Linked DNA regions of Diceros bicornis minor. The protein of the gene in region 2 binds, or shares a complex with, the protein of the main gene of each other region. Links are inferred from orthologs where the notes say so. Each region holds a gene or a part of one and is shown on either strand. Other genes may lie near its edges. The genes, in order: ARHGAP35 and RASA1.

Evidence for each region.
Region 1: the proteins of RASA1 (region 2) and ARHGAP35 are in contact, whole or in part, in a crystal structure (PDB 8DGQ), measured with the Homo sapiens proteins. The link is inferred for Diceros bicornis minor from reciprocal best matches to the Homo sapiens genes RASA1 and ARHGAP35. Residues at the interface, in NP_002881.1 of Homo sapiens: Arg188, Arg207, Ser209, Arg211, Val217, Asn228, His229, Phe230, Arg231, Ile241, Gly242, Tyr256, Leu262, Leu263, Lys264, Lys358, Ser379, Asp380, Asn381, Ser387, Gln397, Arg398, Phe399, Lys400, Met411, Gly412, Gly413, Arg414, His425, Tyr426; in NP_004482.4 of Homo sapiens: Ser1085, Asp1086, Tyr1087, Ala1088, Glu1089, Pro1090, Met1091, Asp1092, Ala1093, Val1094, Val1095, Arg1098, Glu1100, Asn1103, Ile1104, Tyr1105, Ser1106, Val1107, Pro1108, His1109.

Annotation. Positions count from the first base shown.
Region 1 is NC_080773.1:22,366,519-22,373,598, reverse strand, and holds the start of ARHGAP35 (rho GTPase-activating protein 35), read right to left. Parts: upstream 3,249-7,080; 5' UTR 3,005-3,248; intron 1-3,004.
Region 2 is NC_080740.1:14,384,399-14,392,026, reverse strand, and holds the start of RASA1 (ras GTPase-activating protein 1), read right to left. Parts: upstream 3,181-7,628; 5' UTR 3,107-3,180; coding exon 2,589-3,106; intron 1-2,588. UniProt on the Homo sapiens protein: Inhibitory regulator of the Ras-cyclic AMP pathway. Stimulates the GTPase of normal but not oncogenic Ras p21; this stimulation may be further increased in the presence of NCK1.

The DNA.
Region 1 (7,080 bases), on a different chromosome or scaffold from region 2:
AATCAGGCTTTTGATTTACTTAAGAAATAAAATAAATAAACCTAGAACATGCAAAAGGTTCTCTCTCTCAAGTTAAGGAAGGAAAATGGATGGACGGCTTTTCTGTAAAAACCACCTCTTCCTCTGAAAGAATTTCCTAAACCCCACCCCCAACAGTGCCCCAACAGAAGAGCACTGAAGGAAAGGCAGCTCAAAGAAAGGCAGCTAAGGGACATTTCCTAGGTAATAAGACCAAAAATCCAATCAGATCAGCCAGGTCCTGGCACCCCATTCTCACTCTAATTTCTGATTTCTCAAATCAGGTCACTCAGAAGACTTGGGGAGTGTCAAGGCCCACCCACATCCTCCTTGTACACCGATGAGCCCCCCTAACCCCCATCCAACACGGATCTGCCCAGAGGCATTTCGCTCGTGTGGCTGGGAGTGCCTGCAAGACCAGAGGGCAGAAATCTGAGTGACACCTGGCACTCTCTCTTTCAACAAACAACCACAGCAAAGAGCCTTCCAAACCCAGGCCCTCACTATTTTGAAGACCAGGAAGCTAGAGCCTTCCGGGGGCAGAGGTGAAAAAGAACTAAGCCCACCCTCCCGCTCCTCCCAAAGGTCACACTGAGAACCAGAGGCCATCACGGAAGGCAAGACTGCAGCTTCTGCAGACCCAGAGCCGTAAATACCAAGTGTGGCCATAACCTCCCTGTGGGATTGGGAGAACTTGAGAAACAGCATTTCCCCAGCAAGGGGGGGTAAAACAAAAATATGACTTGTCAGCCAGAAAAATCTCAAAAAATGCACTCCTAAATTCTCGCAAGGGGTGCTGGCTTGGAGATGGAAGGGGGAGAGGGTACAAGTGTCTCTTTACAACAGCCCAGAGGAGGAGGGAGGGAAAGTGAGGAAGAGAAGAAAGACCCTGTGAGCAGCTGCACTCTCCTTTCCGAAGGACACAAAGCTGTACAGCCCAGGGATCTGAAGGGGCTGGGGAGCAAAATGGGAGTGAGAAAGAACATGGGGCAATGCGAAGAGATCTAGCCCCCCCCCCACTAACCTTGGTAGAAGTGGGGGGAAAAGGGGAGACATTCCCAGGCTCCAGAGAGCAGCAACCCACCCACCAACCCCCACCTATTTCCCCGGATCTCCCAGGATCCCTGGGGATAAGACCCTCAGGGTCAGGGTGCTGAAAGAATCTGCAGTCTAAATCAGAGCCCAAAGAACCCTGGACCAAAGCCAGCCCCTTCCCCTCCAAAGCTGACGGGGGGGGGGGGGGGGGGGGGGGGGGGGATCATGATGATCATGATCATGATCATGATTGATGATTGATGATGACAAGGAATAGTTTAGAAGACATCTCTAATACTGGGCAGAATCAAGGAAAGGAGAACTCAAGAAGGAGGTAAGAGGGAGGGCAGAGGAGGGAGGAGGAATACAAGCAAGGAGAGGCTGGAGGTGGAGAGCTGAATCAAAATGGTGGGGGGAGAGCCAGGTGGAAAACTGAGAATTGAGAGGCAACAGAGGCGGGACGCAGTTGAGAAGACCAGGGTTAAAGAGGCCCACTCCAGGAGGGGGCAGCAGTAGGAAAGTGAAAATGGGTCATAAAAATAGGTGGGCAAGTGGACAGCTCCGAAAGGGGCAGAGCTAGGAAGAAAACATTAAATGGAGAGGAGGGGGCAGAACAGAACAAATGAGAAAGCAGGTGCAAAAAAGATCTGGGGAGCTCTGTGAGATGCAGAACGGGAGGGGAAAGGGTGACAGGTCAGAGAAAAGTGATCAATGGTTTAGTTAGGTAAAAGGCAAGTCTACGAAGGGCCAAAATGGAAAGGAGAGGACCCGGAGCAAAGAGCAGTCGGGAACCAAGCCTTAAGCAGAGAAGAACAGAAGGGGAGACAGGTCAGAAAGGGGGAGTAAATGAATGGAACAGCTCAAGAGTGCCAGTGAGGAGGTGGGGAGGAGAGGAAACCCAAGGAGAACACCGGCGCAGAACTGGGGGTTCCGGGCAGCACCGAGGCTGCGGAGAGGCTGAGGGAGAGAGGGCAGAGAAGCGAATGGCAGAAAAGAGCTGCAGGGTCAGAGAGGCGGGAGGAGGCTGCTTCGTGGAAGGCAGAGAAGGAAAGCAAGCAGGCTAGAGGGCACAGCAAGATCCGAGATTGGGCAAAGAGCAGAAAGGTCTGGAAGAGGAAAGGGTCTGAACGGCAAACGGGAGCAAGGTTGAGACGGGAGGAGGCAAGCCCGGTGCACCCGAGTCCGAGGAGGGGCAGGGGACTGAACTGAGGCTTGGAAGCGGCCGAGAGCCCAGGGGCATCTTTGGGGTGCAGCAGATTCCGTGCGTGGGCAACAGGGCCCAAAGGGACGTGAAATTAAGTCCAAAGAGACCTGGGGCAGCAGTGCCAAGACGAACAGGGTCTCAGATGGCTCTCCAAAGAGGTGGAACCGCGTGTCCTACAGGGACAGCTCCTGGGGGCGCAAGAGAGGAGGGGTAACAGCAGATGGGTCAAAGAAGGGGACAGAGCAGAAGGGCGGTGAGAGCGGAATCGGAGAGGAGGCAGAAGACTCACGAATCTCAAAGTGGGGGTCCAGAATTAAAGGATGCAGAAGGGTCCCTGAGGAGGTGGGTCCCGGGAGCACTGCGGAGTGCAGGAGGGGCGAAGGGCATTACGGAGCGGCGGAAGGGGGAAGGGGGAGGCGCAGAGTCGGGACCAGCGGGGCTGAAGTGGGGGGGCCGGGGCAGACCCCGAGATCCCAATGGGTCGGAGGGTGGGGGCAGCCGCGGGGACAGCGGGGCTGGCGCGGGCAGGGGCAGGTCCGCAGGGCAGGCGGGCCCCGTGGGCCGGGCCGCAGCGCGAAGCGGCTGGGCCGGCGGGGCCCGGGGGGCTGGGGGGCCGCTCCCTCCCCTCCCCCTCCGGCTCCTCCATTGTTCGCGGGCTCCGGGCCCCGCCGTCCCCGCCTCCCCCTGGACCCCGCAGCGGGGCGGCGCCCGGCCTCGCCGCCGGGGCCCGCGAGCTCGCGCACTCACCAGCTGGGCGCCCTCAGCGCGGCCCCGGACTCCGGGATCCCGACAGCGGCGACGGCGGCCCCGGCGCCATGTTCTGCTGCTCCTCGTCCAGCGGCAGCTGAGGCGGCGGCGGCTCCGGCGGCGGGGGGCCGGGCGGACCCTCCCTCGCGGGCTCCCTCCTCCGCCTCCTCCACCTCCTCCTCCCGCCGCGCCGCGGCTCTCCCTCGGGGCGGGAGGGCGGGGAGGGGAAGGGGGAGGGGCGGGAACCAGGGGGAGGGCGGACCAGCCTCGCTCGCTCCCTCCCTCCCTCCCTCGCAATGGCGGCGGCGGCGCCTCCTTCCTGCGGCCGCCGCTCCCGCGAGCGCGCCCCTCGCTACTGCGCGTGCGTGGCGCGAGGACCGTTGCAGGGGGATAACGGCCCCTGGGCGCGCGCCGCCAGGGGATAACCAGGGTGGGCCGGGGAGAAGCGAGAGCGCGTGCGCGCCCGAGGGGCGCCCTGCCACCGCCGCGGCCGAGGGCTGAGAACGGGCGCGGAGGGCGCAGTGCGCGTGCGCCCCAAGAAAATGCCGCTACTGCGGTGGCTGCTGCGCGAGGAGACCCGCGACAGGCCAGAGGGAGTGGGGGTGGGCAAGTGCGCGTGCGCGGGAGGGGCTGCAAGCCGCCGCAGCTACTGGCGCGAGGCGGAGGGAGTGGCCCGCGGGAGGCGCGCGCGCCCTTGCGCGCGCCAGACGCAGCCGAACCCCCTCCTCGTGCTGGCTCTTGGAGAAAGCGGGAGGGGAGAGGCTTGGCCCGGCTTTGGGGGCGGGGGCGAAGGGCACGATCCCGCTCGCGCGGGACCTGAGCGGCCAATGGGAGGCAAGGGGAGGTGGGTTTGCCGCGAGAGCCGCAGACCCCGGGATAACGGAGGAGGAGAGAGGGAGCGACGTAACGTGGGGCGGTGGGGAGGGGCTGAGGAGGAGGGAGAGCCCCCAGCCAAGGAGCTGATTGGGGAGCGTGAGGAGGCGTGGCCCGCCTAGGCCCAATCCTAGCCTCGCAACTCGTCGTTCCGGAAGAAGGGGCGGGGCTGGGGAGCGCGTGCTCTTTCCCCGCGCAGTGAAGAAAATCTGCAGTCAACGCGCGCGGTAATACAACTTGCTCTGCATTCTGTGATCGCCTGATTCCCGGGAGAGGGGCGAGGGCCCGGTCCTGCGTGCAGCCCTGGCCTCCAAGTCAGCAATGTACAAATGACTGCAAATCACATGTCATTTCGGGCGCCTGGAGGGGAAATAGTAGTGATGGGAAGGGGCACCGCTGTAACCCTTGAGCTCCTCTAAACTGAGGAGGGGTTCCTCTGGGACCCCTCCGGAAGTACGGATGGTGGAAGATGAAAGATCTGGGCGCCAAGTCGATATTTATGGAATTCATGAAGAAAGGCTATGCTTCCTATTGCATTTTGCGTTTCTTTCCTCAGTCTTTTCATCTGTAAAATAGAACGATATTCTTACCTCCCTCATAGGGTTGCTATGAGAATTAAATGTGTTATATTTGTAAAGCGCTGAAAATCATGCCTTGCATTATAAGTGTTGATAAATAAAATTACATGCACTCAAAGTTTTAAAACATCCCATTAAATAAAAGTTTTCTGGTGACTGATCAGGGTCATTTCCATTGACTTTTTTTTTTAATTTATCACTTTCAATACATGAAATTTTATTTTTAGATGTTCGTGACTATTTTTTTTAAAGTTTGCTTTAAGCATTGTGGGCCAGATTTTCTTTAGGTTGCCACTGCAAACTCTGGTTTGTAAGCGATTTTGAGATTACTTGAGGGAACACCAGATTCCCCTACCACAAATTAATGTGTGTTTGTAACTCCAATGCAGTGTTCTAGGTCCTTCCAATCTTGGGAAATTTCTGAACTGGCAGCACCTGGAGAAGAGCGAAGACTGGGTTCACTCTGGACCCAGATGTCCCCTTCCCCTCTTTCGGAGCCCGTCAACTCTGCCTTATCCTTCAAGTCTAGCTTGAAGTCACTTCCTCAGAGTGGCCCCCCAGATTTGGCCTGACTCCTCATTCTTTGATAAAAATGGGCTCTTTATACCACGCAACATTCTAAAGCACTTTAAACAGATTGACTCACTTAATCCTCACAACACTTTGTAAGTAGGTTATAGTTGTTATTATTCTACTAAACTAAGGCACAGAGAGGTTACACAGCTAGTAAATGGCAGATCTGGGATTCAAACTCAGACAATTGGGGTCAGATAACTACACAGCTACTATTTCCTCACAGCACTCCATCAGGGTTGAAATTCTGTATTGGTATCACCATTTTAAGTGTGAGCCCTTTGAAGGCAGGGATTCTGGCTAGTTTCTCAATTTGGCAAATGACCCACAGTAAATACTTGTGGGTTTTTTTGTTTGTGTGTGTGTGTGTGTGAGGAAGACCAGCCCTAAGCTAACATCCAATGCCAATCCTCCTCTTTTTTGCTGAGGAAGACTGGCTCTGGGCTAACATCCGTGCCCATCTTCCTCTACTTTATATAGGACGCTGCCACAGCACGGCCCAACAAGTGGTGCGTTGTTGCGCGCCGGGATCCGAACCAGCGAACCCCCGGCCGCGGCAGCAGAGCACGCGCACCCAACCGCTTGGGCCACCAGGCCAGCCATAAATACTTGTTAATGAATAAATGAATGAATCCAAAGCCAAGCAGAGAATGATGGCTGGCACTGGGGGCGTGGCAGCCAAAAAGATACAGTCCTTGTCCAATTGCTGACTCCTACCCCTCTTGCAGATGCTAGCTCAGGTATTCCCTCTTCCAGAAGGTCCTTCCTGATCTGCCAGGCTGGATCAGGCACCCCTTTTAGACTCCGCCAGCCCCTTTGGGTCTCCAACCAAGCCCTAATCCCCTGGGGCGTCCCTATCTAGTAATATAGGTCTTTCTCTCCCACCGGACTGTAAGCCCCATGAGAACAGGGCCGGAGCTGTCTTAGCAGCATTGATGTCCTCAGCACAGGCCCAGGCACAAGGCAGGGGCTCAGGTAGCGTTTCCCTGGATGAACGAACGAACTATGAAGGAGGGCCTTCCCAGCTCTGCAATTCTTTGCAGTGCGCAAGAGGGCGGGTGTTAGCTGAGCAAGCCAACCACAGGAAACAGGCTTCCCTGGGGGCAGCCGCCCCCGCGCACCCGGCCAGCCTCCACTCCAGGATAAATAAACAACCGAGTAAACAACTAGCTGACAGAGAGAAGTGCCGACTGCCGGCCTGGGCCGCTGTCAAGATTTCCCAAGCATCGCCCTAGGGGCCCAAATGGCCGGGACGCGAGGTCACATCAACCGGAGAGCCGGGGTAGGTACAAGGCGGGGCCTGGGGACCTGGCGCCTCATTGGAGAGATGCATAAGCAGAAAAATCCCCAGAAGAGTTTTGCAAAGAGCGTGGAGGTGCTGGAGCATATTCTCTCGCCATTCCTCAGTGTCAGAAAGAATCAGAGGGTGGGGACCAGGTCTGCGCTTGACCAAAGAGTCGGTGAGCTCACAGCGCCCCCTACAAACCGAACTGAGGAAGCTGCAGCTAGCTGAGGCTGCCAGGGATGTCAGAGAGCGGTGAACTCTTCCGCCATTGGCCAGAAGGGCAGCCAATCACAAGAAAGGAACGGGAGGCGGAGATGCTCAGATTCACTGCGTGATCCCAGCGGCCGGCCAGAGCTGGACGCGCAGTGGGCACGCGCTAAATATCTGACGGAAGGATGGATGAGGAACCTCGCAATTTCTATGAACTTTAAAAATGGTAATATAACATGCATACGGAGAAGTGCACAAATCACAAGTGTACAGCTCGATGAATATTCACAAAGAGAACACGCCCTTGTAACCAGCACCCAGAATAACAAACGGAATATGACCTATGTCTCAGAAGCCCCCTGGTGTCTCCTTCCAGTCAGTCCCCACAAGCAGAACCTCCATCCCGACTCCTATGACTGTAGATTGGTTTTGCCCGTTTTTATACTTTATATAATGGAATCCTGTAAGTGACTTCTTTTGATCAACACTGTTAGATTCATCCACATTACTGTGTGTAGACGCAGATCGTTCATTCTCAGTGCTGTCTAGTATTCCAC
Region 2 (7,628 bases):
TACTAACAGCCTTAATATATTGGCACTGGTCTATCTACATACTGTCACTTGACTCTCTTGTGAGCAACACACCACACTAGCTGGATACAAGGTGGAACCCTAGTCTAACAAACCACTGTGGACTCAATCTTGGGACCCCAACTTCCTTAATACCATGCTATCAATAACTACAGTGAACAGTCACTAGTCAAATATTAATTTAGTCCAAAAACATTTCTTCAATACTTTTATGGGAAATTTGACATTATTTAACCAAGTCACTAAGGCTTTTTCCTCCTTTCATTGAAAATAGGAATTTATAGAAAACACTTGAATTTCATCTCTGAACCTGCTTAATCTGCTAGAAGCTTTTATGAAGTAAAAATAAAATTTTAATATAATTAATTATGGCAGACAGGTCTTTGGAGTTCAAAACATTCTCTCAAATAGCTATTAGGAAAAGAGTCCCTACACCAATAGAATTAGTAGGCAATTTAATGACAATAAAATTATATTCTTGTTATTTGGGGAGACTATTTACTAAACACTTACTATGTGCCAGGCACTGTGCTGAATATGTTCAAGGTTTTCATTAAACTTTAAAAACGACCATATGAGGGAGGTACCATTATTATCCCCATTTTACAGATGGGGAAACTGACCTTTCCAAGATCACACAGCTAGTAAGTGGCAGAGTCAGGATTCCAACCCAAATCTTGTCTAACTTCAGAATTTGCACGCTTAACCACTACACTGTATTGCCTCCAGTGACTCTGGGTTGATATCTAAGATAAAGAAAAGAGGGAAATTTGTACTTCTCAGTGGCAAATTTAAAAAACATACTAGAAATGGAGGATACTTTTTAGAACATGAACAATTCTCATATACAGTCATACAAATATTATTTTTATTCCTAAATACATATAAGTGATAATGATGAAAATCTTACACAATGGACTTCTCACAAACACAATTTGTTCTATGTACCCATTCATGTTTATTATTAAAAATTTAATGGGAATGCTCTGTATTTTCTGCTCAATTTTGCCGTGAACCTAGAATTGCTCTACAAAATAAATTTGACTTAAAAAAATTTAGAACTACAATATACTAAATATGCCTAATTCAATTCAGTTATGAACTGGAATAAGACTATATTCTTTCAGTATGAAAAGTTGCACTTTATTATAACCACAGTGCTGAGCATATAGTGGGCACTTAATATTTAAATCTGACTTTTTCAAAATGGCTTGAAGGTGAAACAGTGCTGGAAACTGGAATTTTTAACACTCTCAGAACACCTTTAGAAAAGTCTGCAATACATAGACATAACATGATAAGTTGGAACAAAATTAGACAAAAAAATTTAACTCATATTGAGCACTATAAAAGGAATACAACACCTCTATACTATGGCTGACATAAATAAGACTAACTTTAATTTTCCACCTTAAGTATCAGAAGATGTAGCCTTAAGTCAAAAATGGATTACTACAGAATCTTTTCCTAAGTCATTTTTTAAGTCCTTTCTAAATCCTCCAAAGATGCTTATCCAAAAAAAAAACCTTTCAACGGTCCAGAGTGACTGTGAACATATAAACCAAATCTTTTTTCCTCTGATACTCATCAAAGGTTGTCGAAATTCTAAAGGTCAATTAAGACAGATCTGAGTGATCTATAAAACAAGTTTTGTCTACTATTACCACTTCCCATCAACATTTTCCTCTCCTCAAGGTCCACCTTTATAAATGCATCCATAAGTTAACCTAGGTAGAGAACAAGTAAGGGGGAGGTGCTAACTTTATATAGAAAAGTCATTTGTCCTATATATTCTGCAGTAGACTGTCAAAATTAATTCTCAAATAAAATATTGTATCGGCCACCAAGAAAAAGTGTTGAAGGGAAGTACACTATTAATTTGTTTTACTTCAATGTTGTACTTACAAAGTCACAACTATAAAAGAATTACACTAATATTAATAAATGGGAATTCTATGGCACAAGTTACAAACATTGCTGGAGTATGGGCCCTTAATCACACCTGTAATTCACGGAACTCCTTTCCTTCCTCGCTGACCCACGTTTTCATAAGTGATCCAAAGACTTTTCTGCACCTCTAGGTTTTCACTAAGCAGAAGGTGGGATTTGCAGTGCAACAAAAGCAAAGCATTCTGACCAATGCATGTTTCAAATGATATCAGTACAATACTGATTCAAATACTCGTATTCAGAGCTTCTCACTCATCATCTAGCTTCAATCGGGAACACACACAAGTTAATACAGACTATGACTGCCTAGGCGGCTGCAAGCTCTGCTGAATCCCAGGCCGCCAGCTCAATTTGGAAGGGGCAGAACCATATCCGGTTCTCACTGGATACACATTTTCCCATCTTAAAAACTTTACATCTTCCCAGAGGAGCAATAAATAGACAAAGACGCCAGGGAGTATGCCTGTGGGGAAGATGAGAGATCATATTAAATCCCTACGCATGGAACCTGAAGCTTCCAAACTTCTCAGAACAAATCACAGCAGAAAGAACGAGGTACGTTTTCCCACTTCTTTCCAGGAGCCAGCTTCCCCAGTCCCAGAACAGTGGTCTTGACTTACTGGTTAGTTGGAGGAGCGGTCAGCGGGATGGCCACCTCTTCCTCCTCGTATTCTGGTCCATCCAGAGAGTCACCTTCGTCCACTGTTCCCAGGCCGGCGCCCAAAGTGGGCAGCTGAGGAGGCGGCGGCAGAGGAGGGAATCCGCCGCCCGCCCCGAAGGGCTCGGCAGGCAACGAAGTGGTCCCCTTGGTGGGAGCCATCTCCCCGCCAGGTCCGGCGGCGGCAGCACCAGCCACGCCAGCAGCAGCACCTCCCCCTGACAGTCCGGCTCCCCCCAGCGCCCCCGCCACGGACACGGCCCCTAGGAACCCTGACCCCGCAGCGGCTCCGCCACCCAGAGTCCCGGCCACTGCGGCCTCCGCCAGCCCAGGATACGAGGCGGCTGCCACAGGCAGGGCCGCGGGGATCTTCACCCGACACACTGCCGGATAGGCACTGGAGCCCGCGGCCGCGCCGCCTCCTGCGGCCCCGGCGGTCACCGGGCCGCCCTCCTCACTGCCGGCCTCGGCCGCCATCATGTTGAAGCCCGCTCGACTCTGCCCTCCCCTGCCCGCCCGGGAGCCCCGAGGGCCACCAGGCCCGGGCTCCGAGCCGCCCCACCCAGGCGCGTCCCCCCGTCAGCTCCCCAGGCGGAGGAAACAACAACAAAAGGAGAGAGCCCGCCGCCGCGCCCCCTCCTCGGGCCACAGCCCAGGCTCCGGAGCTGCCCGGGTTACGGGAAGCGAAGTGGGCAAAAAACCCAACGCCTGCACAAACGCCGCCCAAACCTTCACCTTACACACCCACACTCACGCACACACACATGCACAGAAGCGAAAAACTTCCTGGCTGCCCTAAAGAGGAAGGGAAGCGCAGGGGAAGCGGCTGGGGCGGCTGCCGCTCCTTCAGCCACCGCCGCCGCCGCCGCCACCGCTTCTTCACCACCCCAGTTCCGGCCACCTCCACCGCAGCCACCGCCGGTGCCGCTGCTGGGGCTGGGGCCACTGCAGCCGCTTCATCCTCCACCGGGCTACAGATGGGAGGGGTGGGGAGATAAGAGGAAGGGGGGCGGGGTACTGGGGAAACCGACTGAACTGCTCCCAACCTGGAGCGCTCAGTGAAATCGACCAGAGAGAAAGGAAGGCGGGGCACAGGAGGAGGAGCGGAGGGAAGGAAGGGCGGGGGAGGAGGGAGACGGCGCTTCTGCGCAGGCGCGTTCCCGGCGCGGGGGTGGGGGGGCTGGGCCTGGAGGGAGGAAAAGGAAGAGTCGGGAGGGACGGAAGCGGCGGGGACGCGCGGGGAGCGGACGCGCCGGCTGTCCCGCTCCGGTTCTGGCGCGTGGCGGCGCGGCCGCTCCTCCCGTCGGTGTCGCCGGCGGCGCGCGCCTGCCTCCCTGGGCTTTGTTCGGTGGGCCGGTGGGCCGGGGCAGGGGAGGAGTGAGTACCTGAGCACGCGGCCGCCGGGCGCCGTGAAGACGGGAGGGACAGGGAGGCGGTGAGAGGACGGAATGGGGAACGGGAAAGGAAGATGCCGCGAAGCCAGTGCCCCACTTCCTGACCCGTAGAAAACACACCCTTGGCCCGCGGCGCAGAAACCAGACGCCCAAGGCCCCGGGGGAAGGTGGATATTGCTTCGAAGGTCCAGGCAGTACTATTAATGTTTTCATTTTCGTTGCCTAATATAAATCAGTGTACAACTATTACAAACTAAAAAATAAAATGAAATAAAAAACTAGGTTCTGAAACTCAAGAGAAGAAAACGAAATGGATAAAGGGGTCCATATGAGGAGGGCAAGGAATTTTGGTGGAAATAGTGGTTGTGAAGCCAGATTTCTAGACACGTTTTGTTTTCTTCACCAACCATCCGTATCCTCCCTCCCCCCCACCTCCGCGCTTGCGCTCGCTCTCTCGCTCGCTCGCTCTCACACACACACACACACACACACACACTTACCTGTGCCATAGCAAGTTTGTTGAGTACCATTGCAAGTCGGTTGAGTATTAATGAGGTGTGGAAGAAGAGGGATGCCAGAGACATCACTAATCAACGCACTTTTGTCCTCGTTTGTGTGCGAAAGACGGCAGGGCATGCTTCGCGATGCACACGTGAACGCACAGAGCACCTTCAACAAGGCGAATGTCAAGAGGGTCCCCAAGTGCCGGTTACAATTAAGTATAGTTTCAAAAATTAGAAATAAACTGAAATCTCACCCTTAATATAGCCAAAGAGATGGGTTTTGTTTTGTCTTCTATAATAAAATATATGCATTCGTGTACGTGGAGGAATCATTCCCATTGTTTGAAATTACAGTACCAGTAATTTGCCCTTTTGGATTCATATATTGTTCTTATCTTTTAAATTCTCCCAGGAGGAATGCCACATTAAATACCATAAAATATTGATCTCAAACATCAATATTTAATCTTTCTAAATATCTTTTTAATATTTAATCTTGATTTAATCTTTGAGATCAATATTTTCTCTGCTAAAGATGATCAAACCAATATAGTACCACATAGGGCATGGGAAGGGGCTGTTATAGAGGCCCAGGAAAAAAGGAATAGACCACTAAAAGAGGGCGAAAGGTGCACGCAAGACATTTTCCTTTACTTTAGAAGTTTGCATAAGCCTATTTGCCAAATCACTGACAAACTTGATTAAACGGTAATCCTGAGGACTCCCTCATCGTGCTCACCTCCTATGCAGTGTACCACTGGCAGAGTGAAGATGAACTAGTCACAAGAGTGGTCTCAGACCAGCACTATCCTAGGAACTGGTAAAAATGCAAATTTTGGGGCCCCACCCCAGACCCTCTGAATCAGAAACTGTGCGGCAATCTATGTTTTAATGAGCCCTCCAAGTTGACACATTTACGTTTAAGAACCGCTGTCCTAGAGTGTAGTATGCTAATCAAGAGGGAGGTGTGCAATTATCCTGAATGAGAGAAAGAATAGATGAGAAAGCCGGCTCAATGTCATTCATTAGGTAGGTGGGTAAGAGATGTTGGTATTGGGTTGCTAAGCTCTGTGCTGTTCTAGAAAGGAGGTTAGAAAATGAGAAAGTGCATAATGAAGTAGAGCCATGGTCTTGAAGAGAATAATCAAGTCCTACTTCTTACAGTCACCTCCCTGAAAATAGTTTTTCTTTTAAACTTAGACCCTCAGAGTTAGAAGAGACCGTCAAAGTACCTATTCCACTCACTGGCAACAAATTTTCATGTAGCCTGTGCTTGAAAGCCTGCAGTGTGTTAGCATCCCAATCCTGCAACACTCCCACGCCAATTACCATCATCAGCCTCTGAATGTAGGACATTATTCCGGCAGGTTATCGCCAGCTCTTGGTTATCACTGATCTTCTCTAAGTGCCCACGCACTATCTGAACACTGCCTGAGCTTCCAGATCAGGCTCACTACTCTAATTTGCACAATTACCTCCTCCCCCTTTTTTGAAAATTCTTTAGCACTTAAAGGCCAATATTTAATGCAGTCCAACACCAACTGTATACTGAGTTATACTGTTTTCTAGTTACTTTTAGGTGTATGTATCCACAAAACTATTCTGCTAAGAGAACCTGTGGTTTTTCCTACTGCCTAGCCCTGTGCTAGGCATCCTTGCCAAATGCTTTAACAGATCTCCATCCTTTTAACAAACGCTGGATTAAATCAGCTCACATCTTTGGACATCAGTTGCTCTACTAGTAGGAAAGATCTGCTATGTCTATTTGTATATCAACCTAATACCAGTATCTTACCTTATATTCAATCTTAGAGTTGTGCTTTTTCATCCAAACAGACTACCACATTTTTTTGATGAGGTATTTTCAAATATTTTATATACTCCTTTTACTGGACAGATCTAGGCTTTGATCACTATTTCTTGGGTATTTCCTTAATCTCAAATCAGTCTTCTATCTTCAGTGACTTTATTTTTTCCAAAAGGGTTAAATGTTTCTACCTTCTTTATTTTTGTCTGTTGCCTTTTTTCTTTTTCTACTTACCTTGATCTTCTACCCTTCTCTCATTTATAGTCTCATGTTCTCTTTTTTTCTGTTAATTGCTCCCTCAGTTTCTACTTCTGTGTTTCCCTTTTCTTTTCTTTCAAGCCCCTGAATTTTCTGACATAAGACTATTCTCCTTGAAGTATACTCCTTGAAGTTTCATGAGTCAAAAACCAAGAACAATTAAAAAAAAAAAATTATGAAATATCTATTTGGAGAGAGGCGTTGGTGTTAGGTGTGGTGTTACATAACATCAGTTAACAAAGGGAAGTAAACAGTCTGTTAATTAAATTCACAGATAATATTAAACAAGGAGGTACTGAAAAACAGAACAATATACAAAAGAAAAGAGAGGAAAATTCAAAATAGATTTTACCTTTAGTAAAACAATCTATGGCATCTGTGATTTTAGAAAAGTTACTCCCAATATTGAATTAAACATAGTATTCAATGAAGAGTAAATAATCAGAAATGCTGGACAAAGACTTGTGGGTGAAAAGAGTCTGAACATTTAGTTTAAAAAAATTAATTTGGCTCATTCTGATTTTATTGGCAACTCAAATATGAATAATACATTCTGAAATATTTCACAGTTTTAATACCTCAATATGTGAAAAGGTAATTCTGGGTCAAAAATACAATTTTAGAGAACCTCAAGGGGTTCAGAGCAAATATATGAGGAGTTACTGAGAGGAAGACTAAGCCAGAAGTGATAAAGAGCTTACACCTGTGTTTGAATAATCCCAAATGTGTTTTAAGCCCCAGTACATACTCAGCTGTACAAATAGCCTTCCAAATATATAAATAGTGTAAAAAGATTTCCATGACCCAAAAATTTTGAAAGGAAGCCTTTACTCCTAACCTCTAACATCCCTACTGCATTTGTTGGCCTCATCTTAAAATCCTCAACAGCACAAATTTCCTCATTAGGGAGATGTCTTGAGAACATAACATGGAGGAGATACAGGTTAAAGGAAATTATTTTGATGAAAAAGTAAATAGCTCTGCAGGGATTACAGTATGTGGTATAATAACTAAATAAGATTTATGAAAATTATAAACAC